Linked DNA regions of Sus scrofa. The protein of the gene in region 2 interacts with the protein of the main gene of each other region in a pairwise test. Links are inferred from orthologs where the notes say so. Each region holds a gene or a part of one and is shown on either strand. Other genes may lie near its edges.

Region 1 (7,715 bases), on a different chromosome or scaffold from region 2:
TACACTTCTTTTTTTTTGGGGGGGGGGGTCCTATTTTGGCTATCCCACAGCATATGGAGTTCCTGGGCCAGGGATCAGATCTGAGCCGCACTTGCAACCCTGCCAGGCCAGGGATCGAACCTGTATCCTGGAGATGCAGAGAAGCCACCAGCCTCATTGCGCCACAGTGGGAACTCTGGGGTTACACTTCTTATCACTGTTATCGGCACATCTATTTCATCCCCTTCTATGCCTTTTTATGAAAATAAAGGATAAAATGCAGTAAAGTTCACATCACTGCACCAGCCACATCTGAACAGCCCAAGATGGCCACAAAGCTCAAACAGAGCTACTGGCAGGCAGGCAGCGCCCCCACGTGATCGCTGGGAATCTTTGTTTTTCTGTTCACCTACAAATGCCAAAATTCAACACTTGGGTTGTATCTTTGTCCCTCCAGATTGACTCTCACCCTTCTCCCCCTGCTCTGAGCCCTGAGAGGCTAACTGTGTGACTGACTCCCTTACTTTCCTTACCTTCTGGTGCAGCCAGTGAAAGGCTCCAGCAGGAAATGGTAGGGGAGGAGCAGAAAGAGGACCGTCTTTATCCCCCAATCCCTAGACATGGGCTAGATCTAGTGACTGGATTTTAACATAGAGGATGCAGCAGCAGAAGTGGTGCTATGTGACTCTGGAGGTTAGATTATAAAGATACAACTTCCACCTGGCTTTCCTTCCTCGGATCACTTGTTCTGAGGAGGCCAGCTGCCAAGTTGAGAGTATCAAGCTCAAGCAGCCCAATTAGGGAGGAACTGAGGCATCCGGCCAACAACCAGCAGCCACATACCTGCCATGTGCATGAGCCACCTCGGAAGTAAGATCTTCTAGCCCCAGTCAAAACTTCAGATGACTGAAGTCCCAGGCAACATCTCGATTATAACGTTATAGAGACCCTGAGTCAGAAAGCCCAGTTACTCTTGGATTCCTGACCCAAAAAGCTATATGAACTAAAACGTGTTTCCTTTTTTTTTTTTTTTTTTTTTTTTTTTGCTTTTTAGGGCCACATCCTCGGCATATGGAAGTTCCCAGGATAGGGTTCAAAATGGAGCTGCAGCTGCTGGACATAGACACAGTCACAGCAACACGGGATCCAAGCAGCATCTGCAACCTACACCACGGCTCACAGCAACACCGGATCTTTAACCCACTGAGTGAGGCCAGGGATTGAACCTACATCTTCATGGATACTAGTTGGGTTTGTTTCTTGTTTTAAGCCACTAATGCTTGGGGATAATTTGCTATGCAGCAATAGAGAATTATAATACCTGGTAACAACAGTCCCAGGCTCCCACCTTCTACCTGGAATTCTCCCCCTCGCCACATCCTTCAGATCTCCCCTCAGCTGTTACTTCCCACAACCATTTCTAAACTCCCTTTACCCATCCCCCTACCCAGTTCATTTTTCCTCCTGGCACTTATCTCCTATCCTTGTTTCTTGTCTCCCCTACTAGAATGCTAGCTCGATGAGGATTTGTTTTATTTGGTGCTGTGTCCACAGTGGCTGGCACAGAGTAAGTTCTCACTATGGTGGCCATTATGATGAGAATCTAGCAGACCTGACTTGTAACAGGGCTGTTTTAGGTTCCCACCCGTTTCCTACCTGCTCAATGCCCACCCTAACCAAGGGATGGGATGTAGCCATGCCCTCCCCCTCCACTGGATAAGGAGTAATTGGCAATTATAATGGGAGAGCCCCTCCACACCTCCCCACTTCCCTCAGGATAAAATCCCAGGTCCTATGTGCTGCCTAAAGGCCCCCATCCCTGCTTGCAATCCCACTGGCCAGCCACAAAGAACTGTGAACTATTTATATTCACTAATAGAGCAGGCTCCAGAGAAAGGTGCATAGACCCCACAAACAAAAGGTTGAGGTTCAAGAACACATTAGAACACTTCTCTTTTTTTTGTTTTTTGGCAGCCCCTTGGCTTATGGAGTTCCCAGGCCAGGGATCAGATCCAAACCACAGTTATGACCTATGCTGCAGCTGAGGCAATGCAAGATCCTTAACCCACTGTGCAGGGCCGGGGATCGAACCTGCATCCCAGCACTCCAGGAACACCACCGATTCCGATGCGTCACAGTGGGAACTCCGGAACATTTCTATTTTTTTTTTTTTTTTTTTTTTTTAATAATATTTATTTATTTATTTATTTATTTTTGCCTTTGTCTTTTTGTCTTTTGTCGTTGTTGTTGTTGTTGCTATTTCTTGGGCCGCGCCCGAGGCATATGGAGGTTCCCAGGCTAGGGGTTGAATCGGAACTGTAGCCACCGGCCTACGCCAGAGGCACAGCAACGCGGGATCCGAGCCGCGTCTGCAACCTACACCACAGCTCACGGCAACGCCGGATCATTAACCCACTGAGCAAGGGCAGGGACCGAACCCGCAACCTCATGGTTCCTAGTCGGATTCGTTAACCACTGCGCCACGACGGGAACTCCCGGAACATTTCTATTTTTAATGTCCTTTTTTTTTTAGTCTGCTGAGGAATATCTTTATGTACTGAATACATTATTATTAAATAATCTATGGAATCTCTCAGTATAATTGTATTTGTATATAGTTTATACACAAATAGCCACCTGGGGATGGAGCTTGAACATAGGGGTGCTCACTGAAAAATGATTTTTGGAGTCATTTGTCCTAATGCAATTTAGCCCCTCAGAGGGTATTTGGCAGCATCTGGAGACACTTTCAGTTGTCTCAACTGGGGCAAGTGTGCCACTGGCATCTGGTGGGTAGAGGCCAGGGATGCAGCTCAAAACCCTACAATGCACAGGGCAGGTCCCCACCACAAAGAACCATCCAGCCCCAAGTAGAGCTGAGGTTGAGAAGCCCTAGATTAAAGCGCTAGATTCTCTTGATTCTGGGGTCTTTGCAGGACTAGCTCCCTCCTTCCCTACTCCATTCTTCGCTTAGCTGAGACCTCATACTTCAAGGATTCCTCAGAGAAGCCATTTCTGAAGCCTTCAGGCTGGGCCAGAGCCCTTCCTAAGAGCTCCTCTAGCCCCCTCTTCGCCCCCTGCTAGGTTAGAAAAGTTCGGACCCCTGGGGTTCTCAACCTTCCCATTTACAGTGTAAATTCCCTGTAATCCCCTAGACAGCCTAACTCTGGACAACTGCTAGAGACCCCGGGAATTTGTGTTCTTAACAAGCATCTCTTCCTTCCCCCCAGCTGCTTGCCCCTCCTTATCTTACACATAGTAGGTGACCCAGTGACCAGTTAAGTGTCTACAACCTGCCAGGCGCTACTAACTGCTCTACGCAGGGAATCGAATCCTGGCAAACACACACCGCCCCCGCCACCGCCCCGCCGCCAAAATACACCCAGACTGTAGCCACTACCATCATCCCATCTTACAGAGGAGTAAATTGAGGTTCAGAAAGGGGACGTGGCCAGGTAAGAGACTCAGAGCAAGAAAGGGGTCCAGGTGCTGAATACTGCCTGATTCCCGGGGAGGGGAGGGGATGGAACAATGAAATGGGGGGGCGCGAGCTAACGGGGGCGCGGAAACTCGCCGCGGCCTTCCGATGCGGCCCCACCCCCACGAGGGACGTGAAGACGCGGACCCCGCGCAGCGTGGGGACATGTGACCGACTGCAGAGGCCGCGCTGCCTCCCCCGCCCGAGGTCTGCGCGCTCCGCCGCAGGGTGCAGATCGGTGGCGCCCGCCTGGGTTTGGGGCGCAAGAGCAGAGGCGGAGCCAAGGCGGAGCCAGCGCGCCCCGTCCCCCCTTTCCCTATCGAAAGCGAAACGGAGGGCCGGAAAGGAAGGGCGGAGCCCGCCTGGAGGCCCCGCCCCCTGCCCTGCGCGGCGGCAGGACCGACGGGCGCGCCCAGGTAGGGGGTCGCTGAGCGCGCAGTGCGGACCCTCGCTGGGACCTGCGCCGCCACCATGTCTCAGGAAGGTGTGGAGGTAGGAGATGGCTGCCAGTGGGCCGGGGGCCTGCGAGAGATGCTGGGGAGGAGTTCGGGGCGCGAAAGGGGCTTCGCAGTTCCTGGGGACTCCATCTGAAACCCAGACCAATCCTTAGGCTGGCACTCGTTCCCCTCAGAAAGGAGAGTGGCCACCACATGCCCTAGAGCGAAATGCGGCCTCCTCGAGGAAAAGCGGAGGCTGCTGGGTCAAGGGTCAGAGGCCAGGGGTTACCTGGCGGGCCTCCTCTCTTAGCCTAGGACGCTCACCCTGGTCCGCTCCCTCCCCCAGTGCCTTGTAGGGACTTTGGCTTTTTCCAGGAAATGCAGTAGAGGGATTGGGGGGGGGGGGGTGCTGTGCAGAAGCCAAAACCAAGGGTCAAGTTCAGGCCAAGAAAAAGGATGCCTAGGGATGGGGGAAGGGCCATCGCTCCTCTCCTTCCTCCTTCGGAGCCCCCTGTCCCCACCCCAGCTGGAGAAGAGCGTCCGGCGCCTCCGGGAGAAGTTTCATGGGAAGGTATCCCCCAAGAAGGCGGGGACTCTGATGAGGAAATTTGGCAGCGACCACACCGGAGTGGGGCGCTCCATCGTGTACGGTGAGCAGGCCGGATCGAGGGCCTGGTGGGGGTTCTGCAGAGGAGCACTGGAGGGGGGTGTGGTCTGTGTTGGGGGTAGAAAGAAGCGATGAGATCATCTCTTTGGGGAGCGGTCTGTATCAGGGGTTCTGGGGACACTGAAACTCCCACAAGATCTTTCAAGGGCCCTTCACTTACACTTACTCTCCCCACCAGGGGTAAAGCAGAAAGATGGACAGGAACTGAGTAATGACCTGGATGCCCAGGTAAACTGTCCCTCTCCCTCAAAGGATGTGCTAAGGGGAGGGAGAACAGAAGGGTAAGCTCATTCACGCTGAGCCCCCGCTGTGCACTGTCAGTCCACAACTCATGGTACAGCCTCATTCACTTATTCACCTCTCAGTCTTGTATCTGGCTGGCGGGCCTGCAAACAGTAGGTGCTCATTACATGCTGACTGTATTCAGTGGGGGTGAGACAAGAAACTAGCCAGTGAAATGAATCGGGATTAATGTCATTTACAGAGGAGCCACAGAGGTCAGGGAAGGCTTCCTGGAGGAGTTGGAAGGAAGTTGTTCAAGATCAGGGAGGAGTCATCCCTGGGAAGGGGAGGAGTCAGAAAGGGTCTTCCTGGAAGAGGGAGGCTGTGCGAGCAAAGGAACATGCGGACAGGCTGGGATGAGCAGGAGGTGGGGGAGGAGAGAGGGGCAGGGGATCCCAAAGGAATGAATGAATGAATGAATGAAAGGCTTTGAGGCATAGACACAACAGGGCCACTTTGCCCCTTAGATGGCTTTGGTGTCTGGTGCACTGGTTTCACCTGTCTAAAAGGCCCAGCATAGAGTTCTTAAAAAGTGTAATAAAGGATGAATTACACTCTTAACATTCATATATTTACATTTATACATATGATGAGTATGATAAAATAGCAAAGAGTGTCATTGATAAAGCACTTCCCCTGTGGCAGGACTCCAGGACTTTTACCTGTTGACTGATTTCATTGCCACAGGTCCTATGAGACAGGTCCTATTAAGATACTAGCATGTCCATTTTACAGATGAGAAAACTGAGACACAGGGTGATGAAGCCACTTGCCAGGTTCATGCAGAAGGCAGGTGACAGCTGGGATTTGAACCTCCGCCACCTAGAGTCAGAACCTGGGCTCTTAGATGTCCCTCAGTAGTGGGAATGGCTTGGCTACACCCCCACAGCTGGAGGTAATGAGGCCAGGATTTCAACCCCCATCTCCCTAAATCCAGAGCCCAAGCACTTAGCCTAAAGCAGCATGGCCTCAAAGAGGTGACCTGTCACCATGCCAACAAATGTGTGGCATTTGTGAGTAGGACAGGAGCATGGGGTCCAGGCCTGCCCCACCAGGTTCACTCAGGGTAAATTCAGCAAGCCCTCTCCCAGCTCTGGGCCTCAGTTTCCCCATCTGAACAATGGGGGTAATAAATATGCCTACCTCTCAGGGTTGCTCTAAGGACAACTGAAGTCACACATCCTGCCCTGAGGAAATAGATACTTCTCAGTCAATCAACTCCTCCTGAGTTAGGAACACCCTGCTTTTTTTTTTTTTTTTTTTTTTTTTTGCCACTTCACGGCATGTGGAGTTCCCAGGCAAGGGATCAGACCTAAGCCTCAGTTGCAACCTAAGCCGCAGCTGTAGTAATGGAGTATCCTTAAATCGCTGTGCTGGGCCAGGGATCAAACCTGCATCCCAGCACTCCCAGGACACCATTGATCTGGCTGTTCCACAGCAAGAACTCCTAGGGACACCCTACTCTTAATATGGGGCCAGAACCCCCGCTCCCCAGAAGCCCCACCCACAGAAAAGATGCATGAGCCACATCCCCAGTTTCTGCCCTGGTGTCTCCACTTAGGACCCCCCAGAGGATATGAAGCAGGACCGTGACATCCAGGTGAGTCCAGGATGTGGGACGGGAAGGTGAGCAGGGAGGACATCCATGGGGAGGTCCCTAGGTGAGGACGAGGGACGCTGTAGGGGGAGGAAGGGAAAAAGAGGGCTGACAACCCTCCCATCCCCACCTACACCATCCTACAGGCAGTGGCAACCTCCCTCCTGCCATTGACAGAAGCCAACCTACGCATGTTCCAGCGTGCCCAGGAAGACCTCATCCCTGCCGTGGACCGGCAGTTCGCTTGCTCTTCCTGTGACCACGTCTGGTGGCGCCGCGTGCCCCAGCGGAAGGAGGTGATAACCCAACCCCTGACCTTGGTTCTGTCCTGACTCCACTCCCAACCCTCAACCTCAGTGTCCAAACCCTTGACGGAAGAACATCAGCCTCTAAGAACCCAACCCCCGACCTCCAACCTCAGAGATCAACCCGAATCGCATACCCCAACCCCGACTGGACTTCTCTTTCAACTTGAGAAGCTCGACTTTTACCCCAGAGCCTGATCTCGGATTACATAGTTTGACAGCTACCGCAGAAGTCAAACCTGACCCCCCGCAACTACAACCCTATATCTGGCTTCTGAACCCCTTGACCAGTGGTGTGCTTCTGGTAAATGCCTATTAGCCAGCTCTTGTGGGGTGGAGGCAACCCCGGATTTATAGTGTTTGCCAATTTCCATTGTGTAAATCTCACTGTGGTCAACATCAAGCTGTTGGTACTTACCTCTGACCTCAAGCCGGCTCCCCTTTCCGCACCCCCAGGTGTCCAGATGCAGGAAATGCAGGAAGCGCTACGAGCCAGTGCCACCCGACAAGATGTGGGGCGTGGCTGAGTTCCACTGCCCGAAATGTCGGCACAACTTCCGGTGAGGGCACAACTTCTGGTGAGGGTTCTGACCTCTAGTCCCCACTCTCGGCCCCGCCCCACCCCACCCCTGCCCCTCCTAGCCCCGGCCCCACACTGGCCCAGGCAGCCCTTGGACCCTCACGGCCCTCCCCGCCCCCAGGGGCTGGGCGCAAATGGGGTCCACATCCCCCTGCTATGGGTGCGGCTTCCCCGTGTTTCCAACACGGATCCTCCCTCCGCGCTGGGACTGGGACACGGATCGCCGCAGCAACCACACCCACTCCTGCTCAGCTGAGGACTGCTACAACCGGCGAGGTGAGGGCCTGGTGTGTCCCCGTGGCCTTCCCCAACTCTGGGCAGTCTACCTGGCCTTGATTCCTGGGACATCCACCCTGGGGATTTAAGTACCAGGGTTTCTGCTTGCCTCTT
Region 2 (7,263 bases):
GCTTCCTCCTTGCTCCTGGCGAAAGAGGCCTTCCCAACTCTGACCCCTCTGTGGAGCCCCCGTTGCCTGCCACGCCTCTGCCCCCGGGACCGGCTCCCTGCCTTGGGCGACGTCCGGCTATGGTTACCTTGCTACTGTTACCACATTTTGAGGACTTGGGTGATCTGGAATTCTCAGGACCCTCCAACACTTCCCGGAAACCAGACTCCTTGAAATGCTGCAGTGCGCTGTGCAGTTCTAACTGCTCCTTTATTACACATTCTTGATTCTGTATCAGTTTTTTCTGCTCCTCCTGCATGCCTTGGTAGAGCAACTGGAGTTCACACAGGTTTTGTAACTTTGTAAGTAGCTCCTGACTCTGTGAGGTACAAAGGAGGCAGGAGCTGTGGTGGTTCCACGGGGAGACCTCTGCCTCCTTCCCGCCGGGGACCCTTGCCTTAAGGGAGCTGGCAGTGTACAGCCCACCGGCCAGGGGCATTGTAGTCTTTCTATGGAGACCTATTCGTTGAGTGGTAGTGACCTTATACGTTGGGATGCATTTTGCAGTTGACAAAGTTCTTTCAAGAACATTTTCTGCGCACAGACTAAATATCTAACTATGAAATGCTGGACAGATCCCAGAGTACAGGATGCATTTTAAGACTTAAGACCCTAATCAGTTATCCTCAACTGTTCTGTTTGAGGGGACTGGTGAGCAAGTAGGGAGTGGCTGGCTAGGAAAAGAAGTTGGAGCCCCACCCTTTTACCTCTCCCAAGTGCAGTCACACCCAGGAAGCTCCTCCGAGCGGCTTCTCCTAGCTAGCAGCCGTGTCTGGCTGTGGTTACCTTGTGGAAGAGACCAGATTTGGGCAGCGGGAACGTGAGCCTGTGCAGCTCTTCTTGCAGCTGGCCCTGCTCCTCCTGCATCCTCCTCTGCTCCTCCAGGAGCTCGCACTGCTGCATCTGCAGCTGGCCCATCTCCTTCTGGCTGGCCTTGTACCTCTCCTGCAATTCTGTCAGTCTGAAGAGCAGGGTGTCACACTGCGGGCGGGGCGGGTGCGGTACGGAGGAGGGGCCGTTACCCTGGGGGGCAGGCTCCCCTGTCTCTGCCTCTCCAATTGGGCACGAGAGTGCCTTTGCACTCTTACCTCTCGTGATTCATCAGGGTCTCCCCCCTGCTCCACAGTCACCTTAGACAGATCACCCCAAGCCCCGCTGCACCCCTGCAGGCCTCGATGCTGACAGGGCAGCCCACAGGCTGCTCTGGACCGCCCGCTGGGCTGGGCTGTACTCCTCTCTGAGGACGGCTGGCAAGGGAGCGAGTTATCAAAGTCCCTCCCTTCTCAGCAGATCTGTACCCTTTTCCCCTGTAGGGAATTCCCGTTCCTGTTACTCTCCTTATCCCCAGATCTTTCTATAACCAATTATGCTCCTTACCGCTGAGGACACGTCCTTTCACCTTTCACCCTTCACCCTAGTTTCCCCCCAGTTTTGTTGTCATGATCAGCTTTAAGAATCTTTAGAAGATTATGAATTTCTGAATTTTGGTTGAAAAGACTAAATCATCCCATGATTCCAAAAACCCAAATCTTCCGAAATCTTTTAACATCCAACTAATCTCGCTGCTGTTTTAGGACTAAAGGAGAGGCCGGTTCTGTAGGCCAGCAGCTTCTCCCTTTCGTGGTCTCTTCCGCTAGGAGAGGGGGCGATGAGCACGCTGCGGACCCCCAGACCTCTCAGTGAAGTGGGAGTGGGGGGAGGAGGAAAGTGAGCCTGGGTATAGACAGGCAGCTGGAAATCACCTCCCCCGCTGTGTCCTCCGAAAGCCTTTCCCTGGGGACACAGCCCGCTGTCGGCCGTGGCAGGAGGCGACTGGCTCCACCATCTTTTGAGAATCTTGCCCCTTTTCTCCATCATGTGTCAACATCTTTCCATTTCCTAGCGGTGACCGGGAGCTGAAAGTGCTCAACAAGCCTGACTGCTAAGGATGTGCATTTGGCACACTATAGAAAAAAAAAGGGGAAAATGAAGAAGGTAGGCCTTATCATTACCAGGATTTTCTCCTAAAAGAAAGTGAGATAAGAGTAGCATTCTGTTCCATTTAAAGATAAATTCAAAGCTTAATTCACGCTTGGAATTTAACTACTCTGAAGGCACAGAATAAATCCTGGAAGAGCCCAGGGCCTTCTCATACCCAGTCAGCACTCTGGGCACAGACCATGCCTTTCGACAAGAGCATCTCAGAAAACGGCACCTTCTCTTTCTAGCTCTGACAAAAAGAGTTATGCACATGGGCCGATGTGTGTGTTCCTCTCCACGAATGACAAGGTAGCACTACAGTTCTAATAACAAGGTATACATGTCTACACACATGGAATCATGTATAAAATCTTCAGACTAGATCCAGAGGTACTGTGGCTTGGACTCAAAGTCAAGGTAAAGTTGATGCTTTTTTTTTTTAGGGGTGCACCCACAGCATATGGAGGTTCCCAGGCTAAGGGTCTAATCGGAGCTACAGCTGCCGGTCCATGCCACAGCCACAGCCACACCAGATCTGAGCTGCATCTGCGACCTACACCACAGCTCATGACAATGCCAGATCCTTAACCCACCAAGTGAGGCGAGGGATCATGGTTACTAGTCGCATTCGCTTCCGCTGCACCACGACGGGAACTCCAAGGCAAAGTTTTAAAGTTAACTGCATGGGGCGCTGCCTCTGCTTCCTGCCTTTCCACAGTGAGCTGCGACTGGACAGGAAGTCCATCAAGCCCCTCGGTTGGATGACTTCATCTTTTGTCCCCATACCTCCTCTTTCCAGGGCTCGGGAGCTCTCACCTCTCTTAATAACAATTACCTTATTCGCACATTGCCCCTTGTCCTCTTGGATGGCCTGGGTGGTCTTGAGCTGTTGCAGCTCCTCCTGGCAGAGCAGGAAGTCCTGCTCAAGCTGATCGTACATGTGCTTCTGCTGCTCCAGCGCATCCCGGCTGGTCTGGTGGAGCCGCTTCACCTCCTGCAGCTGGGCGCGCATCTCCGTGTACTGGGGCGGGGGAGGCAGACCCTGCCGTCACCCCAGCAGCCCCTGTGGCTGCACCCCCTCCTGTCAGGCAGGGACTCAGGGGAGCCTACCCTGTCCTCTCCAGTCCTGGTTTCATCCCAACGGGAACGACCTGCGATGGGCCAGTCCCTAACAGGCTCTACCCTGGGACGCCCTCTTTTGGTGGCGAAGGAAAGGGGCTTCCTTTTGACAGGTTCCTTTTCTTTTGCTTTTTGCTTTTTAGGGCTGTAGTTGTGGCATACGGAAGTTCCCAGACTAGGGATCTAATCAGAGCTGCAGCTGCCCGCCTACACCACAGCCACAGCCACACGGTCTCTGAGCCGCGTCCGTGATCCACACCACGGCTCACGGCAACGCCAGATCCTTAATCCATTGAGCGAGGCCAGGGATTGAACCCACATCCTCATGGATACTAGTTGGGTTGGTTTCCACTATGCCACAACAGGAACCCCTACAGGCTGATTTTCTGATTCAAAATTAAAGGAAGCTGGGCCCATCATGACCCTCGGAGATCACTTTTCCACTAAGCACCTTCTTCTCTCCTTGCCGCCAAGAGCTCCTCCACAGAACTCCTACCATCCCTCTCCTCCTGGGTCCACTCACGGGAGAGCCTGCCGCTACCTTCTCTGTCACCTGCAGCTTCCTTTACCTTCTCTCTGCTGTCTTGGAAGGAGGCCACGACGCCCTTGAGGTGCTGCACCTCCGCCTCGTGGCACTGCAGGTTGTCCCGCAGCTGCTGCTGCACGTCCAGCAGCTTGTCCTTTTCACACGTGATGTTCTGGTACTGCAGCTGCAGCTTCTGGAGCCGGCACAGTAACTCCTGCGGTGGAGGGGCCCGGGGCAGTACCTCTGGGATCCGCAGCCGCTCTTCTGCTTGAGTCGCTCTCAGACTCGGACAGTCTGAGAACCCGCTTCCCCCTGCCCTGCACTTGGGGGGGTCCTCTCAGCTGGCGGAGGACTCCTGGACTTCCTCACCTGTGGCACCGCACAGGGGGTCGCTGGCGCGATCTCAGTGCTCTGCTCTTATCCCCTTCCCCCCGAGCCTCTTGGCACCTAAGCGGCCCCTCACCTCTGGTGGGTGTTACCTTCTCACTCTGGCTTTCTACGACTTGGGATTTCGTGATTTTGAGCTGCCGGAGCTCAGCCTGAAGTTGTAGCTGCACCTTCAAGAGCTCATTCTGCTCATCCTGGCTAGCATCATACTTTTGCTGTAGGGCACAGAGTCTGGTCCGCAGCTCCTCGTTCTGCGGTGGGGAGGGTGTGGACAGAACGGTTACGCTCATGAATCAGCAGACCCCTCTCCAGACCAGAGTGGCTCGTTTCCAGAGGCAGACATCTTGAGGAGCTCCCACGGGCCCATGGTTTAGTGTCTTCTCTGGGACAGACGCTGGATAATGACCACCGTTTCTAGAATGCCATGCTATGTGACTTTGCCAACTGCTCTCTGGTGGAATGTACCCCTGGTTGCAGGGCAAGGGTCAGCAGAATGCAGCCTTCCTCTGGGTCGGGCCTCCCCTGAGGGGGCGACTCCATGTGGGCCCTCTGCCCTCCCCGATGCCCTTCCCCTGTCAGTGTTTACCTGGGTGACGTCATGGGAAGTCTGAAACCGAAGCACCTCGTTCTGTGCGCACTTGAGCTCCCTCTGCAGCCGCCTTTGCTCCTCCTCGCTGGTCCGGTGATGATGCTGCAGCTCTTGCAACTCACAACACAATTTCTTACACTGTGTGGGAAACGGATCAGGAAGGCTGACTTACTACGATGGGCACGTGCACTCCAGGAACGGGCTTGGGCAGAGCATGGCGTTCTTTTTACTGGGATATTTCCAGCAGGCGAGCAAGCCAGCCCGTGGAGTACCATCTCCTGCCACAGCACGTGCCTCCTTCGTCAGCCTCGTGTCAAAGGAGGTGTTGCTGCCACAGGCCAGGAGAAGGTGAGAAGCAGCCAGTGAAGGGCGCCTGCCTCTCCCTACCTTGCTCTGCATGTCATGCATCTGCTCCTCAGCTCCCAGCAGCTGCTGTCGCAACAAATGCATTTCAGGATCAGGCTCCAGGAAGTCGGCTTCTGAAGTCTGAGACTCTGCTGACATCATACTCCGCAGTGTTTGGGACTCCAGCCACCTTTCTGTTGCTCTTCGTGTCCTGTAACCCAGAACCCCAGAGCCATGACTGGGAGAGAGCTCTGCCTGGCATCACCCGCCAGGTGTGCTTGGTCCTGATGCCTTGTTTTAGGCAAAGGATAGTCAGGAGCCTTCTACATTGTGATTCACCTCTCAAACACGCTCAGGAGATAACGGAAAAGCCCCTAGCACCTCCATCTGCAAAGGCTTGTTTGGCTCTGGGAGTGCTAGTCCAGCTGGGCTCGAGGTTGGGCCTGGAGTCAAGCCAGCTCCAATCTGGAGGCAATATGCCATTAGACTGAATAAAGTCTGTGAGGACAACCAAGGATTGCTACTCATCTATGCTAGGGCAGAGCACACCAGAACTAATGCTGAGAATGGAAGAGAACCAAATTTTATTTTATTTTATTTTTTTGTCTTTTCTAGGGCCGCACCCAAGGCATGTGGTGGTTCCCGGGCTAGGGGTCTAATCAGAGCCGTAGCCGCCGGCCTACACTAGAGCCACAGCAATGCGTGATCCAAGCCGTGTCTGCGACCTACACCACAGCTCACGACAATGCTGGATCCTTAACACACTGAGCAAGGCCAGGGATCGAACCGGCAACCTCATGGTTCCTAGTCAGATTCCTTAACCACTGAGCCACAATGGGAACTCCGAGAGAACCAAATTTTATTTATTTTTGTTTGTTTGTTTTGCTTTTTAGGGCCGCACCTGCAGCACATGGAGGTTCCCAGGCTAGGGGTCTAATCAGAGCTACAGCCGCCAGCCTACACCACTGCTCACGGCAATGCCGGATCCTTAACCCACTGAGCAAGGCCAGGGATTAAATCCTCAACCTCATGGTTCCTGATCGGATTCGTTTCCACTGCACCACGATGAGAACTCCAGAAGAGAAGTAAATTTTAGAACTCACTCAACTCTAGTCCTGGGATACCTGGGTTGGATCCCCAGGTCTGCTTCCTGGCAATATCCATACCCTTTGGATACCATGGTAAGGACCAGCCCTCCAGAGGCCGAGTGAAGCTTGTGAGCCTGGCACCTGCCTTCACTGGTTCTAACTCGGGGAAAGGGCCCCCGCCTCCGGGCTGTACCTCTCACTCTCCAGCTCTGCAAGCTGCCCTGTGAGGCTGCTGTTGCTCTCCTGCAGGGCCTGGTACTCCTCATTCAGGAAGCGGTAGCGGTCCCGCAGCTGCTGCAACTCTTCTGCAGAGGACAGGCAGAGAGGTGAGATCCCATGGAGGCAGCACTGACGACCAGCCCCCAACTCCCCTGCCTAGAAATCTGACTGCAGAAAGCTGAATAGTTTCTCTTTTTCTAAAGACAGAAGAGATACCACATGCGGAGGCCCGGAAAGTTCCATGCTGCAGTGGACCTCTGTCCTCTTTCAGATAACCGCCCTTCTTTTCATCTTCCTAGATTTCCCCTGTCTGCCCATCTTCCAAACCCCAACCAAGACAGAGTCTTGGGATTTTAGGAGCTTGTGAGCATTTTCTTAAAGTTCTTGGTTTATTGTATTTAAAGTTTCCATTCAACTGTTTATGGTTGGTTTCCTCTTACACTTTTAGCACAAAAAGCTGAGAGCGTGAACAGTCAGATGTCACACTGTCAGGCCTGGGCTTTCAACACAACCCGGGCACCCTTTTACTTTCTGACATCCTCTTACTGCCTTTATCACCACACTGAATATATTGGCCTGTACTCGGTCAAGAATTCTAATGATCTTCTATGTGCTAACGAAAAAGCCCACGCCAACCACACGCAGAAATCATCCGCAGGCATCAGCAGAGATCTCTCTTGAAATGCCCCTAAATTCCAGAAACCAATACTTTTTAATGCTGTGATAATAGGAACACCCATATCTATTGTACCTCTCCATGGTAAAGAATTATTTCTCTCAGAATACTAATTCTGCTGATTTCTTTGTTTTGTTTTGTTTTATGCTTGGTGGTTCCCAGGCTAGGGGTCAAATCAAAGCTACAGCGATGCGGGATCCGAGCTGCGACTGCGACCTAAACCACAGTTCGCAGCAACGCCGGATCCTTAACCCACTGAGCGAGGCCAGGGATCGAACCCAAAACCTCATGGTTCCTAGTCAGATTTGTTTCCGCT
Region 3 (7,845 bases), on a different chromosome or scaffold from region 2:
TCAGAGTATTGACAATAAAAAGAAAAACAAACAAATGGGACCTAATCAAACTGAAAAGTTTCTGCACAGCAAGGGAAACCCTAAACAAAATGAAAAGACAACCCACAGAATGGGAGAAAATCTTTGCAAGTGAATCCACTGACAAGGGATTCATCTCCAAAATTAATAAACACCTTCCACAAGCTCCATACCAATAAACCAAAGAACCCCATCAAAAAATGGGCAGAAGATCTAAACAGACAGTTCTCCAAAGAAGACATGCAGATGGCCAAAAAACACAGGAAAAGATGTTGAGCATCACTCATTCTTAGAGAGATGTCAATCAAAACCACTATGAGGTACCACCTTACCCCAGTCAGAATGGCCATCATCAAAAAGTCTACAAACAAGAAGTGCTGGAGAGGGTGTGGAGAAAAAGGAACTGTAGTACACTGTTGGTGGGATTGTAAGTTGGTGCGACCTCTGTGGAAAACAGTATGGAGATTCCTCAGAAAACTAAACGTAGAACTACCATTTGATCCCAGCAATCCCACTCCTGGGCATCTATCCAGAGAAAACCATGACTTGCAAAGACACATGTATTCTGATGCTCATTGCTGCACTATTTACAATAGCCAAGACATGGAAACAACGTAAATGTCCATAGTCAGAGGTGTGGATCCAGAAGAGGTGGTACATATGCACAATGGAATATTACTCAGCCATTAAAAGGAACAAAATACCAGCATTTTTAGTAACATGGATGGACCTAGAAACTATCATGCTAAGTGAAGTCAGTTGTACCATGAGACACCAACATCAAATGCTTTCACTGACATGTGGAATCTGAAAAAAGGACAGACTGAACTTCTTTGCAGAACAGATTCTGACTCACAGACTTTTGAAAAATTTATGGTTTCCAAAGGAGACAGTTTTGGGGGTGGGGGGATGTGCTGGGGTTGTGGGATGGAAATCCTATAAGATTGGATTGTGATGATCATTGTAAAAGTATAAATGTAATAAATTGAGTAATAAAAAACAAACAAACCATAACTGTGGGTCGGATCTGAGAACTTTACAGGACAAGCCAGTGGGAGAAGAAATGCAAGGGTGAGGGTGATTACATTCTGCACAGCAAGCCTGTTACACATCACCCAGAGGCCAGTGGGGCTGTTGCCTCCAGAAAGAGAAAGAGAGGTGGGCACATGGGGCTTTGGGTGGGGGTGGTTCACAGATGAAGGATCGCTCAGAGAGAGCCTGACCTAGCTCGCTCACAGCCTTTGCTCCTTGATGGTTCACCACTGAGAAGCTGGGGAAGTTATGTCTGTTGGGATTCAGCTTTTTCATCAGCCATTGGGTGTGATATGGATGCCCTCATTGGCTCAAAAGAAGACTTGTGAGGCTCAGAAGAGGATGCACTTAAGAGAGGGTCCACTTCAGGAAGAGACTATATTGCATATGTGCCTATTTCTTCCCAGGCATGCTATCATTTAGGTTTTACAACAATCTGAGGAGGATTATTATCTTTTGTTTATTTTTTATTTTTGTTGTCTTTTTGCACCTGCAGCACATGGAGGTTCCCAGGCTAGGGGTTGAATTGGAGCTATAGCCGCTGGCTTATGCCACAGCCACAGCAACTTGGGATCCAAGCCATGTCTGCTATCTACACCACAGTTCATGGCAATGCTGGATCCTTAACCTGCTGAGAGAGGCCAGGGATCAAACCTGCGTTCTCATGGATCCTAGTCAGGTGTGTTACCACTGAGCCACAATGGTAACTCCTATTATCTTTCATTTATTGAAGTAGAATATGAGACTCAGAGAGGTGTGGTGACTTGCCCAAGGTAACGAGGATGTGGAGGAACTGACTCAGATCTGGCTGACTCTAAAGCTCCCGTTCCTATCACAGTTCCCTGCTGCTTTCTCTCTGGGAGGGCTTTTCCCAGAAGGCGTGGGAAGGGACTGGGCCCATGGATAGCATGGCTTTCAACCTGGGGGCTAATTCTGACTGACTGTTAGGGGAGTCCCGGTTTGCTGTATTGAGGACAGTGAGGCTCTCTAGACTTAGTGGGAAAATGTGCAGGGATCAATTTGTGATGTCTGCCACATGTGAGAGAATAGGGAGGTGGTACTCAAGGTATATTTTGCTAGACCTTGTTAGGGTCTTTTCTAGGTTTGGGAAGCTGGTCTCCAAGATGACTCTCCACCTTCATGGTCAGCACAGATAGGGTCTAGAGGCTGAGTTCATTCTCTTCTGGCAGAGAGAAGGAGCAGGAACAGTGCTCCTGAAAGTGGGGATTGGTTAGGGCCGGGGCTCAAGGCTTGGCTGGGAAGGCATCTTTGGGACTCCCAAAGGCTGTGTCAGGTCACCACCTGCCTTGACTGCAGCTGACCCACACTGACCCCTGCAGGCAGGAGTAAGCATTGCATGGGGGAAGTGCCAGCCCCAGGATAATCAAGTTTTCAGGGGGAGATGTTTTTGGGGATGCTGAAGGGAGGCAGAAATTTCCAGGCCTGACTCTGCATATGAAGCAAGGGAGGTGGAAAGCAGAAGCCAGCACTAGAACGCCCTTAGGGGTCCTCTAGCCTAACACTCCCATTTCTGCAAATGGGGAAATTGAAGTCCGGAGTGCTTCCTCCTTGTGGTCCATGATGTGTTTGTCTCCAAATCTGAAAAATGTAGGATGGGCTGGGTTGGCCATAAGTTTGGAGTCAAGCAGAAGGGGATCAAAATCCTTCCCTTTTCTCCTCTAGCTGCATGACCCTGGCTAAGAAATCACGTCTTGCCTCTGAGCCTCAGTTCCCTGCCTTTAACGCATCATGACTTGTTTGAGGATTAGAGCCTCTGTGGTATCAGGCTCTCTGCTTGTCAGGCAGCATCATAAGTGCTTGAAGGGCGACGTTTCATGGAACCTCCCACGAGATGGGTACCAGCTCCACTTTACAAATGAGCTGGGATCCAGAGAGGCTTAGTTCCTCACAGTAAGTAGGTGGATGAGCTGGGACCTGGGCAGCCTGACCTCACTGCTGGGATCACAGTTGTGGTCGGTATGGGCTGTGAGCCCCCTGAAAGCAGGTGAATAGACTCAGAATCCCAGTCCCTCCTCAGAGACTCTGATGTCAGCCTGAGAAGGTGACTGTTGACAAGCCCCCTCCCACACTCCAAGGAATACTGCACTGACTATGCTATAACCTTCCCAAGTGAGATCCCAGACTGAGAAGGTGATGAGAAATAACATGAAAGTCCTGCTAACAACAGATCACAGCTTGTATATAGCCCACTCTGGGCCAGGCACTCTGTCAAACACTTCACATCTTTAAATTCTCACTGCCGGCCTCTAAGGTAGGGATTACTATTGTCCCCACTTCACAGATGACGAAATGAGTCACAGAGAGCATCAATCATTTGCCCACAGCTTTACCACACCTGGTGACAGTTGGTTAGCCAGCTTAATTACAGTGATCATTGGTTTTTTTCCTTGACTCTGCATCCACCTGAACCGAGGCTGGGGGTGGTTGTTTGTGGTGGTGGCAGGGGTTGGTTAGGGAGCCTGTAGCAGGGCAGTAAAGGGGTGTGTGAGTATAAGACCAGGAAGTCTGTTTCAGAGATGGAAGGATCAGAGGCTGGCCTTGCCCTGAGCCCCAGCCAGGTTTCTAGATGCAAATCTTTTCTGTGAGCTCAGGGAGGGAGGTGGGCGGGCAGTGCCTGGCTGAGGCTCCAAGGAGCTGGTGGGTGCTGTGTGAGGACTCCCACCTGATAGATGCAGCCCCCTCCCGTGTCCAGGGCCCCCACAGGACCCTTGGGAGCTCCTACCTTCTTCCCCTGGGCAGCTCCCATGGTATGACGTGGACACCCAGCCTGGCTGGACCCTGGGGGCCGGGCTGGAGTCCTCTCTGCAGCGCTGATCTCAGGAGCCGAGGTCCGAGGGGTTCCCGGGGTCCCCAGTCCTCTCGTGGCTCATTCTCCTCAGGCACAAAGGCAGCTTTCACAGCTGCTCTTAAGCCGGCAGCTCCTCAGACAGGCTTAGGGTGATTGATCCTGACGGAGGGGCCCGGTGTCCCCAGGCAGCCACATGCCCTCCCCGGGTCCCTGTAGCTCCTCGCTTCCTGCACCCCTGCCCCTCTCGGGGAAGAGAGACAGAGGCAGCCGGCGTCATTGAGAAGCAAAACCGTCCTCTCACCCCGCAGCCACAGTCGGCAGCTCAGGCGCCGCGAGTGACCCCTGGCAGGTCCAGAGGGCGCGCCTTGACCTTCTCGCCCCCAGATGAGAGAGAAGGGGCTGCGTGGGGCTGTCGCGGCATGGGGATCGGAGGGCTTGTGTGGGGCCATGAAGCCCAGGGCTGCTCGGCCCCATGAATAATAGATCTTAGAAGGCACTCGGGCCCGGGGTTCTCCCCGCACAGAGACAGAGAGAGCAGCACACTTCATTCCACGGGGCAACGGTCCAGGCGGGGAGGGCCAGAGGGTGGCTGGTCTGGGCTCAGGCCAGGAAAATATCTGGAGGCCAGATTCCAGGCCCGGGGCCAAGTTCTCAACGTCCCCCAGCAGTCGGCCTCCTCCTTGCTTTCACCCACTTGCTTCTCTATGTTGCCAGCGTGGGGCAAGGTTAAGGCCGGAGTCACCTTGAGCTGGAGTCATAGCTCTATTCCTCCCATGATTTGACCTCTCTGAGCCTTAGGTCCTTCCTCTTGTGTGTGTGGGGTCATATAATCAGCACACAGGGCTGCTGTGAGGTTTGAAAGGGAAGGTGGGTACAGCTGAAGCCTTTGTTTCGTTAAAGCATAAATCTGATCACGTCATTCCCCGTTTTATAATCTTCCTCTTGGCTAAAGCAGGATGACAACGGCCCCAGCCTACGGGGCTGTGAGGATGAAATGAGGTCATTCATGTAAAGCTGAGCAGAGGATTCCCCGTAGAATTTAGGTGCTGCTATTATGTTGGTTGTGATACTGGTGATTAACCCACTGCCCATTGGCAAGTCCCAGGAAACTAGTTTAAGCACAACGCTGTTCCCCAAGAGCTGGGTGGGTGGGGAAACCCTTCCCTTTCCTCCAGCACAGTGCCTGGCACAGTGATGGTTTATGACACAAATTGATGATTTATGAAGTGATAGTTGGGGGTGAAGAGGCAAATATTAGGTGTTCTAGATCTGATTTTGCCCATAGAATGGAATCCCCCATGGTTCTCAAGGTCTCATCTATCCAACCTTTCTTTCCCCTCAGACCTTGGCCCAACATCCCTCTCTCCCTGACAGTTCCTGGCCATACCACCACCCCCTTTACCTCAGGACTTTTGCACTTGCTGTTCTCTCTGCCTGAAATCTGTCCTATCTCCCTTGACTCCATTCTTGATCTTTGCATGAGTCTTTCCTCTTTATCATCAGGCTCATGTTTCACCTCTTCAGAGAAGCCTTCCCTGACTCTCTATGCAAAATAGCCTCCTGGGTTCTCTGTTGTTTTGTCACCACACTTATCAGAAACGGGGATGATACTATTTCTGTGTTTATCATTGCGCTTCCCCACTTGGAATGGCAGCCCCACAAAAGTGAGACGTAGTCTGTCTTGTTCATCAGTTTACCCCCTGTGACTCAAGTAGTGCTGGGCACATTGCTGTCATTCAATAAATATTGGTGGATGGAGTTCCCATTGTGGCGCAGCAGAAACGATCTGACAAGTATCTATGAAGCTGCAGGTTCGATCCCTGGCCTCGCTCAGGGGCTCGGGGATCTGGTGTTGCTGTGAGCTGTGGTGTAGGTTGCAGAGGCAGCTCGGATCCTGTGTTGCTATGGCTGTGGCATAGGTCAGCAGCTACAGCTCCGATCTGACCCCTCGCCTGGGAACCTCCATGTGTCGCAAGTGTGGGCCTCAAAAGCAAAAACAAACAAACAAACAAACAAACAAAACATTGGTGAAGTGGATAAATAAGTGAAGGAGGATTAGATGAACTAGTCCAAGTATATAGAGTGCTCAACACAGTCCTGGCTCAACACAAGTGCTCCCTGCATGGAATTATCAGTATTTCTTGTTGCTCTATTTTCCCCAACACCCTTGCCCCCTCCAGCCAAGCAAAAGTATGACTTCTTTATTTGCTGTTTCTCCTGGGTCCAGCCCCTGCCTCGACTGCTCTTCATTACTTGTTTCCCTGTTCCAAACATGGCAGGGGTATACATGTTTGTAGCATTTGATTCCCTGCAGTAAGGAGAGTCCACAAAATTGGAAAGAGCAGCAAACTAAATCAGTAAAAGTGCCATGAGACAACCCTGAAGATCAAATTCCTCTGGCAGCCATCCCATAATTATCCACTGGCTTGGCTCTTGGTGGGATAGGAAGAGAGAAAAGTAATTTTACACATTTGTTAATTTTTCCCCATCTGCTTAGGAGTTCTGCTGAAACATGGCTTATCAGCCACACGGAAAACCTGCTTGACTAGAGGACTTGATTGGCTGAAGCTCTGAAGCCTGGCTCCTGGCAGCATGTGGGTCTGAAATGCAAACTTCGGGCCCCATGCTATGTGCAGGAGGAAGGGCATGCTGCCCCCTCCCCATCCCACCGAGCCTTTATTTTAAGGCTCCAGGTGGCAAAGCCTGGTACAAGGGAGATGATTCAAATACAGACACTGATGATTTATGAAACGATGGTTGGTGGTCAAGGGTCAAGACCAGCTGTTCCAGATCCAGCTTTGCCCAGTCTCCCTGTGTGGCCTGGGCACAGCTCTTGGCCTCTCTTTCTCTGTCTGCAAATGGGGATAAAAATCTGCTCCTTCCTGACCCACAACTTTGTGAAATATAGCAAGACCTGTAAAATGTGAAAGAGTTTTGAGAAGAACAAATCTCCCATACCTACCCCATCCATCTCTCCCAAGAATGATGGTAGATGGTGAGAATGTTCACACAGATTCTGAGCACTTTTCGAATGTCATCAGAGGCATTCAGGAGGAGGAGGAAGGGCAGGAGAAGGGGGAGGAGAGAGGGGGATCGGGAAACACTGTTTACCTCAGAGTAATGTTAGGGCAGTGTTTTTGAATTACTTTTTTTTTTTTTTTTTGGTCTTTTCTAGGGCCACACCTTTGGCACATGGAGGTTCCCAGGCGAGGGGTCTAATCGGAGCTACAGCTGCCGACCTACACCACAGCCACAGCAACGCGGGATCTGAGCCGCGTCTTCGACCTACACCACAGCTCATGGCAATGCCGGATCCTTAACCCACTGAGCAAGGACAGGGATCAAACCTGCAATCTCATGTTTCCTAGTCAGATTTGTTAACCACCGCGCCATGAGGGGTAGTGTTTCTGAAGAAGAGTCTGTTTCCTATAGTGATGGAGATAGACTGCGATTCCAGTCTTTATTCTGAGGCTCCTTAGCTGTGTGACTTTGGATGAGTCACTTGACCTCTCTGAGCCTCATTTTTCTTATGTGTAAAAGGATAACAACGATCCCTACCCCAGGGGCTGTATGAAACGAGGTAATTCAAGTAAAGCTCTTTGCAAAGAATAGGTGGATGACAGCAATTCTCCATAGAAGTTAGGCATTGCTGTTATTTTTATTTATTTATTATTTTTTTAAGGGCTGCACCTGCAGCATATGGAAGTTCCCAGGCTAGGGGGTGAATAAGAGCTGCAACTGCTGGCCTGTGCCATAGCCACAGCAATGCAGGATCCGAGCCACATCTGTGACCTACATTACAGCACATGGCAGGGCCAGGTTCTTAATCCACTGAGCAAGGCCAGGGATTGAACCCACATCCTCATGGATCCTAGGGTTTGGAACCTGCTGAGCCACAAAGGGGACCCCCTAGGCACTGCTGTTATGATGCTGCTAATAAAAGTAGTGGTAAGTCCATGCGTATTGGCAAGTCCCAGGTAACCAGT
Region 4 (7,722 bases), on a different chromosome or scaffold from region 2:
GATTTGAGGAATTTGAGAGATAATCAGAAAGAATACCCCTAATAGCCTATATATTTTTTCTAGTAGTCGATTACTTAGTAGTAAGTAGAAATATTTTTATTTATTTATTTAATTTTTCGCTTTTTAGGGCTGCTCCCGCAGCATATGGAAATTCCCAGGCTAGGGGTCAAATCAGAGCTGCAGTGGCTGGCTTACACCACAGCAAAAGCAATGCCAGATCTGAGTCGTGTCTGCGACCTACACCATAGCTCAGGGCAATGTCAGATCCGTAACCTACTGAGTGAGACTGCGTCCTAGTCAGGTTTGTTACCGCTGAACCCCAAAAGGAACTTAATGAAATATTTTTATTTTTAAATCAAGTGACAAATTCCTAACCATGTCTTCAATGTTTTCTACAAATCTATCTTTTACGGATAAAAAGAAACTCTTTTTTTTTTGGTCCATAAAAGACAAATGGCCATTTATACTTATGAGTTATTTAGGAAGAACTGGGAAGAAAACTCCCACTGTTCTTGCTACCTCACACCTGGTCCTCTCCAGTGGGTCAGAAATCTGATTAGAGAGAATTGAGATAAAGACCCCAGCTCATGGTTGGCTTTCCTCTTGGTCTCCCTAGAATAAGCATGCTCACAAGCAAAACAATTTTTCTCAGGAGTTCCCATTGCAGCTCAGCAGGTTAAGAACCCGACTAGCATCCATGGGGACTTGGGTTTGATCCCTGGCCTCACTCAGTGGGTTAAAGGATCTGGCGTTGCCATGAGCTGTGGTATAGGTTGAAGAAGCAGCTCAGATCTGGCATTGCTGTGGCATAGGCTGGTGGCCGCAGTTCAGATTCGACCCCTAGCCTGGGAACCTCCATATGCCACAGTTGCAACCCTGAAAAAAAAAAAGACAAAACAAACAAAAATACAGTTTTTCTCAAAGCCAAGGCACATCCACTTGTTACTTTTTCTCTCATCCTTCATGCCAAGTGAGGTTTGAGAATTTTAATTAAATAGGTATTTATTTGTTGCCCTTCTATGCCCATCAAGAATGCAAACTTCTAAAGACAAAGATTATGTCATTTTATTGACTATGTTTATCACAGACACTAGCAAAAATTTTTATTCGTACTTCATGTACATAGTACAAATCTGTTGGATGCTGTATATAATCCTCTCATCCTACGTTTAGTTAACTTAGACTTTTGGCTGGCCCTTAAATATTCTCTAGGTTTTCCTACTGTCATGCCTTTGTTATGCTGTTTCTTCATTCAAGGCTCTTTCTCTTTAATTCCCACCAGTGGTCTCATTTTTTTCCTTTTTGAAATCTTATTGATCCCTCAAGGTCTAATTCATCCTCAGACATCCTCAGTGATTTCTCTCCTAATAAACTCAACCAAATATGCTCTAATCCTATACACACTTGTACCATTTTTTTTCAAAAATTTCTCTGAAGGGGGAGTTCCCACTGTGGCTCAGCAGGTTAATAAACTGATTAGTATCCATGAGGATGCAGGTTCAATCCCTGGCCTTGCTCAGTGGGTTAAGGATCCAGCATTGCCATAAGCTGTGGTGTAGGTTACACATGCAGTTTTGATCTGGAGTGGCTGTGGCTGTGGCATAGACCAGCAGCTTCAACCCCTAGCCTGAGAACTTCCATATGCCATGGGTGCAGCCCTAAAAAGACAAAAAAAAATTTCTATGAAGGAATTTATCATGTTTCAACTTATATTTTATTCAATCACATGCATACTTTCTCCGTTCCTTTTGATTACAATTTTTCTAAGGCTAAGGACTATGTTTTAGTTATGAATCTTCAAAAGCACCTGGAACATAGCGGATGCTTTAAAAATGTTTTTCTACTGGAGTTCCCGTTGTGGCGCAGTGGTTAACGAATCTGTCTAGGAACCATGAGGTTGCAGGTTCGATCCCTGCCCTTGCTCAGTGGATTAAGGATCCGGCATTCCCTCCCATGAGCTGTGGTGTAGGTCACAGATGTTGCTCGGATCCCGCACTGCTGTGGCTCTGGCGTAGGCCAGCGGTTGCTGTGGCTCTGGAGTAGGCCAGTGGCTACAGCTCCAATTGGACCTCTAGCCTGGGAACCTCCATACGTCACGGGAACAGCCCTAGAAAAGGCAAAAAAAAAGACAAAAAAAAGAAAATGTTTTTCTACTGGCACTGCTGGCATAACTCTATCATTTTAAATTATTTAATCCATGGATTCAACAGCACATAACTGGTTACCTAAGTTAGCTATAGTCTGATTGATTTATGTAACTAAATAATATGTATTGATTTTAAAACACCAATGACACATATTTAATAATTCATAAAATATGATTTCTTGCATGCTAATTTAAGTTCTGTTTTCCAAGTAAGAAAGTTGTGTAATAATTGTAATATGACTATAGAGTGGCTGCATCATTACTCTAATCATAAGAATCTTTAAGAAATGCAGATTTACTTTTCCAGATTACTGAGAGTTACAGGTAATATGCTATATATGTGTTTAATTTTAAAAACTTAAAGAGAGATACATTATCTAAAATGAGAGAGAATCATGAAAGAAAAAAAAATATTTTCTCATTTGTAAGAACTTGGACTCCTTAAGGCATCTGATAAATATAAAAATGATACTTTCAAAAACTGTAAGAAGATGAAGATTCCTGATTGCTGAAGGTTTTACTTTATTCAAACATGTAGCACCAGATCATGTAAGGAGAATCTTATTCTGCTTAAAGCCTGAGCGATTTGATTTGCTGCTTTCTGTCAGTGTAGAAGTTGACATTTTCTACTCACACAGATATATTTTTCCAACATTGTAAAACTGTTCAGAAAATGAGCTATGCTTGTAAAATCCTTCTTCCGTCTTATCACTAGGTGATTTTTGGCAATTAACCCCATCTTTTAATGCTAAATCAACCTAAAATGCCAAAAATACAATGAATACTTGTACATATGTCTTTCTAATCAGATATAGGAGTACTTATATCCACTAAGAACTATTCATCCAGAAAATGATTACAATGATTTAAGTGGGTATATTATAAAATTTCAATTGTACTTAAGAACTGCATAATGTTTGAAGCTGCTCTGAGAACTTGTATCCTACAAACTGGTAAAATAACATTGATCTGAGCTGCCTACATGTTCTTTTGTTCACCTTTTAAAACTTATAACAGGGAACCCATTTTCTTTTTTAAGGCTGACACAGTTTATGCTTCATCTTTTGACCTTCATTGAAGAAAGTTTGTTTTCTGTATCATATAATGACATTTGTATACCCCAGCTTCTATTGTGCTATTTGAGGATACTTCATTCAACAAAGCTTTACTGCTGTCAGTCTTGCCTTGTCTTGTCAGAAACACATGACATATTAGAATTTAAAAAAATTCATAGAGGGTTGATAAAGTTACTAAGTACAAACTATTAATTTAGGTGTAGGTGGAACCACAAGATATAGGGCAAGAACCTGAGGCTAGTAACAGTGGAGTTTGTCACCATCCCTAGGTCCTAAGAAACAAGGGAGAAGTTATTGGAACTCAGAACATGACAAAATTATGTAGAGTAGGCTAACTCAAGAATATAATTTGAGAAACAGAGCCAGCCCAAGGCAATGGTGCAGGAAAGGATTGTGGAGAATAAATACCCTATTCTCTTTCTCCTTTCTCCCTTCAGTCTCCCAGAGCTCCCTGTAGGTTAAACCCAACCAGAAGACAGAAGGTACAGGAACCCTGCCAATGTGGCCTACAGAGACATCAGTCAAGTAACAGGGAAGGAAAGAGCACATACCTAGAGAGGAAAACAGCAGATATCCAACAGAGCTCCTATGCTATATACACAGTGAACACCACACCCCCTGACCTTTAATGTTCCTTATAGGCACAGCCTCAATGAAATAAGTCAGTATAATAATGGGTAGATTAATTCCACCCTTTTCAATACTTGCCTCAATGAACTGGCATCATTTTGTAGTGTTTAATAATTCTCACCTGTGTTGCCGGGTGCTGCTTAATTACGGGAGAGTTTCTATTGAGGATTTTTAGCCATCTTTTGAGTCCATAGCTGTTGCAGAACTTTGGCTACCATGTTAGTTTTGGATTACGATTATTTCTTAAAGTGGAAAAAAAAAAGTGAGGCACAGTTAAATCTTGATTTCCTAGTCAAAGTCAACAACACAGCCTAGGAACTAAAATTTTTAGCACCCATCATTTCAACTCTCTCACCTATATTTGCTCTATGTAAATTAACACCCACAAAACTGAATAGAAGATTAGCACTGAACTCTTGCAGACAGGTGGAGAAGAATTATGACATCCGGCAATCTGTGAAATATTCTTGTATTTTTAACTGTGTATTCTTGTGTTTTGGGCTGTGTATGGGGCCTTTCCTGAATTGCTTTCCTTCCCTCCGTTGCAGCAATCTCCTTACAACCTTTTCCCTTTGGTCAGAAAAGGGGGGGAAGTGCCAACATAATTAGTATGCCAGAGTCAGTAATACTCCGCTGCCAAATGGCTTCTTGATTCAAATTAATGAAAACATGGCTAGCTGTGTCAACAATGGGGTCCTCAGCACCAAGAGGCCACAGCTCATGTCATGAAGAAGACGGCCCAATTCCACTTCCAAGATTGTGTCACTGAAGAACCTTTCCTAAGATATGGACCGGGTTTGCTTTCTGATGTGCTTCAGTTTCCTTGGGGGTGAGGGGCATGGAGTCTTTTGTGATCACTCTATTATAAAACATTCTTCACACACAGAGGAGATGCACTTGAGCTACTTCCCCCAAGTCAACACAGCTCACCCTAATGAAACACTGAGTATGCGCCAAGTTTTGTGCTAGGTGCTAGTGATAAGATGAATGTCACCCTGCTGACAAGGAGACCAATGCATAAAGAGACAAACACACACAAATGATTGGTCCTTGTGGAGCTCAGAAGAGGGAAAATAGAGTCTTTATTGGAGAGATAAAAGCTGTTTGGGGCTGGATATTAAAGAACGGATGAATATGGCATTCACAGATGGAAAAGTGAGAAGAGGAACTTCCAAGCAGAAGTGATGACTAGTGCAAATTGTGCAATTATTTGCAGTGAGCACAGGACAAGTCATAAAACCAGTAACTTCAGCAGGTAATGAATTACCATAAGTATGTGTTGATATATTGGGAACAGAAATTATTTACCATTTTCTATAAAGTCTCAGTGTCTAGCACAGGACATGATACAGAGTAGGGATTTCATAAATGTTGAAATGTAGAGTCATCAGTGACTTTTTAAAAAAGGTTTTTCAATTTATTTTAAGACATGAGCACACCATCAATTTTGAAGTGACCTGGAGAACTTACAATCTTTACCAAAATGAGTCAGACTACATAAAATGCTAATTTAGTTGATAATGAGGGAATGCTGAAGAAACATAATAAGTTACGATTTTTGATATGTAGGCTCACATCTTAAGTCTAAACATTTGGGATTAGGAGGCATCAATTAATCGTCAGATCCCTGCACATCTTATGGGCAATCATCCCTTTCATATTAATCCATGAGTGCTTTATGGGGCTCAGTAGAGCTTACTCTGGGACTATCGTGAGTTCCCAACTCAGCCTGAGGCCAGCAACAGGAGAGATTACAAGAGTCCCTTAGGAACTGTGCCTGACCTGCACTGTCCATGTCAGAGTTGGCTGCATATTTGAAGACTGTATCAGACATCCTTTGATATATGCAAGCTTCCACCACAGAAACACTCATGTGTATGCATACTGTGTTACATTAGGTGACTTTGCTTCTTCTTTTGGGACCACAGATGCTACAGTTTAAGAGCAAGAGGCTAATGTTCCTCCAGCTGACACAAACCTACCAGTCCTGACAGTGACATCAGTAAAATTTGAGACTTCCCTACAAAGAGGAGTGGCATATAGAAAAAGAATAAGCTATCAGCAATGTGCTTGCTAAGAAAAGCAACAAGCTTGGTGTGTTTTAGAGACTAGGTAATGAGAAGGCCAGAGGAGCAAAATGCAAAGAGAACTGTTGGAAGAATGTTCAATAATGCATTTGCTCAGATCCACAGACTGGAAGCTCTCAAACACTATGGTGCGAACTAAAGATATGCCAAGCAAAGGAAATTAATTATTAACAAAGTCGGAGTTCCCGTCGTGGCGCAGTGGTTAACGAATCCGACTAGGAACCATGAGGTCGCGGGTTCGGTCCCTGCCCTTGCTCAGTGGGTTAACGATCTGGCGTTGCCGTGAGCTGTGGTGTAGGTTGCAGACGCGGCTCGGATCCCACGTTGCTGTGGCTCTGGCGTAGGCCGGTGGCTACAGCTCCGATTCAACCCCTAGCCTGGGAACCTCCATATGCCGCGGAAGCGGCCCAAGAGATAGCAACAACAACAACAAACAACAACAACAAAAAAAAAAAAAAAAAAAAAAAAAAAAAAAAAAAACAAAGTCAAGGCAGCACAGGAATCATAAGATTAGTGACTTCAATTTTAAAGTGAAAAAATTACAAATAAACTGTATCCATAATGTAAGAAGAAGCAGTTGTAATTTCATAGCTCCTACAATTCCACCCCACTGAGCACCCAAATTCCTCCAAATTGTCCTCCCACTTTCCCCCCAAAAAATAAGACTTTGTTGTTGTTGTTATTAAATCATAAGTTAACAGTTACTTTTGTATTTGAAAGTTCAAGGAAAACTCTTCATTTGAACATGTTATAAAGTCCCTTATAATTTGACAGCATATAAAAAGAACACATAAGGACTAAATTTTTCATAGAAACAATTCAGCGATGTGACATGAATGGAGCAAAAGAATTTGGGGAATTATAGCACAGGTTCTTTAGTGACCAGGGCACAAGGACTGGGCAAGTCCAATGCAAACTGGAACCAAAAAGTAGGTACATCAACTGCTGAAGACTTTGCCTGAAGCAGAAAGAAAAGAAGTAACTATCCTGGCTTCCTCCCTTGTATTATCCTTCAATCTCTTCTCAGAGCCTTCTACTGGCTGCCCCAACCAGAAGCCATCAAGCAAGGGGTACTGGGGAATGTACTATGCAGAAAACATGCTCACAAATTCTCTGACATTCCCACTACCAGAAGTAGAATCTAATTCCCTTTCTCTTGAACATAATTTGTCTTAGTGACTTGCTTCTAAGGAACTGAATGTAGCAAGTAGAATGCATGATTTCATACAAGAAGATATAACTTCCACCTTGTTCTCTCCTGTCTATCATGAGAAGACAGGTTCTTTGAGGTGCAATCCAACAGAGGGAATTTAACATAGGGAAATCATTGCAAACAGAAGTTTGTAAAAGACCTGAAAAATTAAACAGAGGGCAGAGATGCAGTCTACGGATTAGCAATAGCCAAACAGATAGGAATAAAAGACCCGTATAGGTGGTCTGGTGATAGCTCCAGCTGAAGTTCCAGCTGACAGATGGTATGGAGGGCCAAAAAAATGATGGAATAAACCTTTAGATGAGTCTAATCCCAGTATTCAAGACACCTGATGGTGTCACATGAAACAGAAACAAGCTGTCTCCACCAAGTCCTGCCCAAATTTCAGATCCATGAGCAAAATAAATATTGCCATTGCTTGAGCCACTAAGTGGTGTGGTAGGATGTTAAATAGCAATGGGTAACCCCAACAGGATCTGAGAGCAAACAAGCCAATGGCACGTACAACATTGTTCTTATTTTCTCATTTCTGCTTCAGCTAACATTTAAAAGTCTCACTCAGAGCCAACC

The links.
Region 1: the proteins of CCDC136 (region 2) and C2H19orf66 interact in binary tests that used the Homo sapiens proteins (3 or more experiments, as listed by UniProt). The two-hybrid records come from large-scale screens. The link is inferred for Sus scrofa from reciprocal best matches to the Homo sapiens genes CCDC136 and SHFL.
Region 3: the proteins of CCDC136 (region 2) and FAM107A interact in binary tests that used the Homo sapiens proteins (3 or more experiments, as listed by UniProt). The two-hybrid records come from large-scale screens. The link is inferred for Sus scrofa from reciprocal best matches to the Homo sapiens genes CCDC136 and FAM107A.
Region 4: the proteins of CCDC136 (region 2) and melanoma-associated antigen B4-like interact in binary tests that used the Homo sapiens proteins (3 or more experiments, as listed by UniProt). The two-hybrid records come from large-scale screens. The link is inferred for Sus scrofa from reciprocal best matches to the Homo sapiens genes CCDC136 and MAGEB4.

Annotation. Positions count from the first base shown.
Region 1 is NC_010444.4:68,938,625-68,946,339, forward strand, and holds the start of C2H19orf66 (UPF0515 protein C19orf66 homolog), read left to right. Parts: upstream 1-3,621; 5' UTR 3,622-3,928; coding exon 3,929-3,949; intron 3,950-4,420; coding exon 4,421-4,544; intron 4,545-4,739; coding exon 4,740-4,789; intron 4,790-6,404; coding exon 6,405-6,443; intron 6,444-6,586; coding exon 6,587-6,736; intron 6,737-7,201; coding exon 7,202-7,305; intron 7,306-7,446; coding exon 7,447-7,601; intron 7,602-7,715.
Region 2 is NC_010460.4:19,805,178-19,812,440, forward strand, and holds part of CCDC136 (coiled-coil domain-containing protein 136), read right to left. Parts: intron 6,358-7,263; coding exon 6,246-6,357; intron 5,176-6,245; coding exon 5,007-5,175; intron 4,758-5,006; coding exon 4,617-4,757; intron 4,282-4,616; coding exon 4,123-4,281; intron 3,858-4,122; coding exon 3,687-3,857; intron 3,020-3,686; coding exon 2,834-3,019; intron 1,021-2,833; coding exon 826-1,020; intron 359-825; coding exon 128-358; intron 1-127. UniProt on the Homo sapiens protein: May play a role in acrosome formation in spermatogenesis and in fertilization.
Region 3 is NC_010455.5:40,365,615-40,373,459, forward strand, and holds the start of FAM107A (protein FAM107A), read right to left. Parts: upstream 4,095-7,845; 5' UTR 3,818-4,094; coding exon 3,794-3,817; intron 1-3,793. UniProt on the Homo sapiens protein: Stress-inducible actin-binding protein that plays a role in synaptic and cognitive functions by modulating actin filamentous (F-actin) dynamics. Mediates polymerization of globular actin to F-actin. Also binds to, stabilizes and bundles F-actin.
Region 4 is NC_010461.5:25,891,796-25,899,517, reverse strand, and holds the start of melanoma-associated antigen B4-like, read right to left. Parts: upstream 4,095-7,722; 5' UTR 3,974-4,094; intron 1-3,973.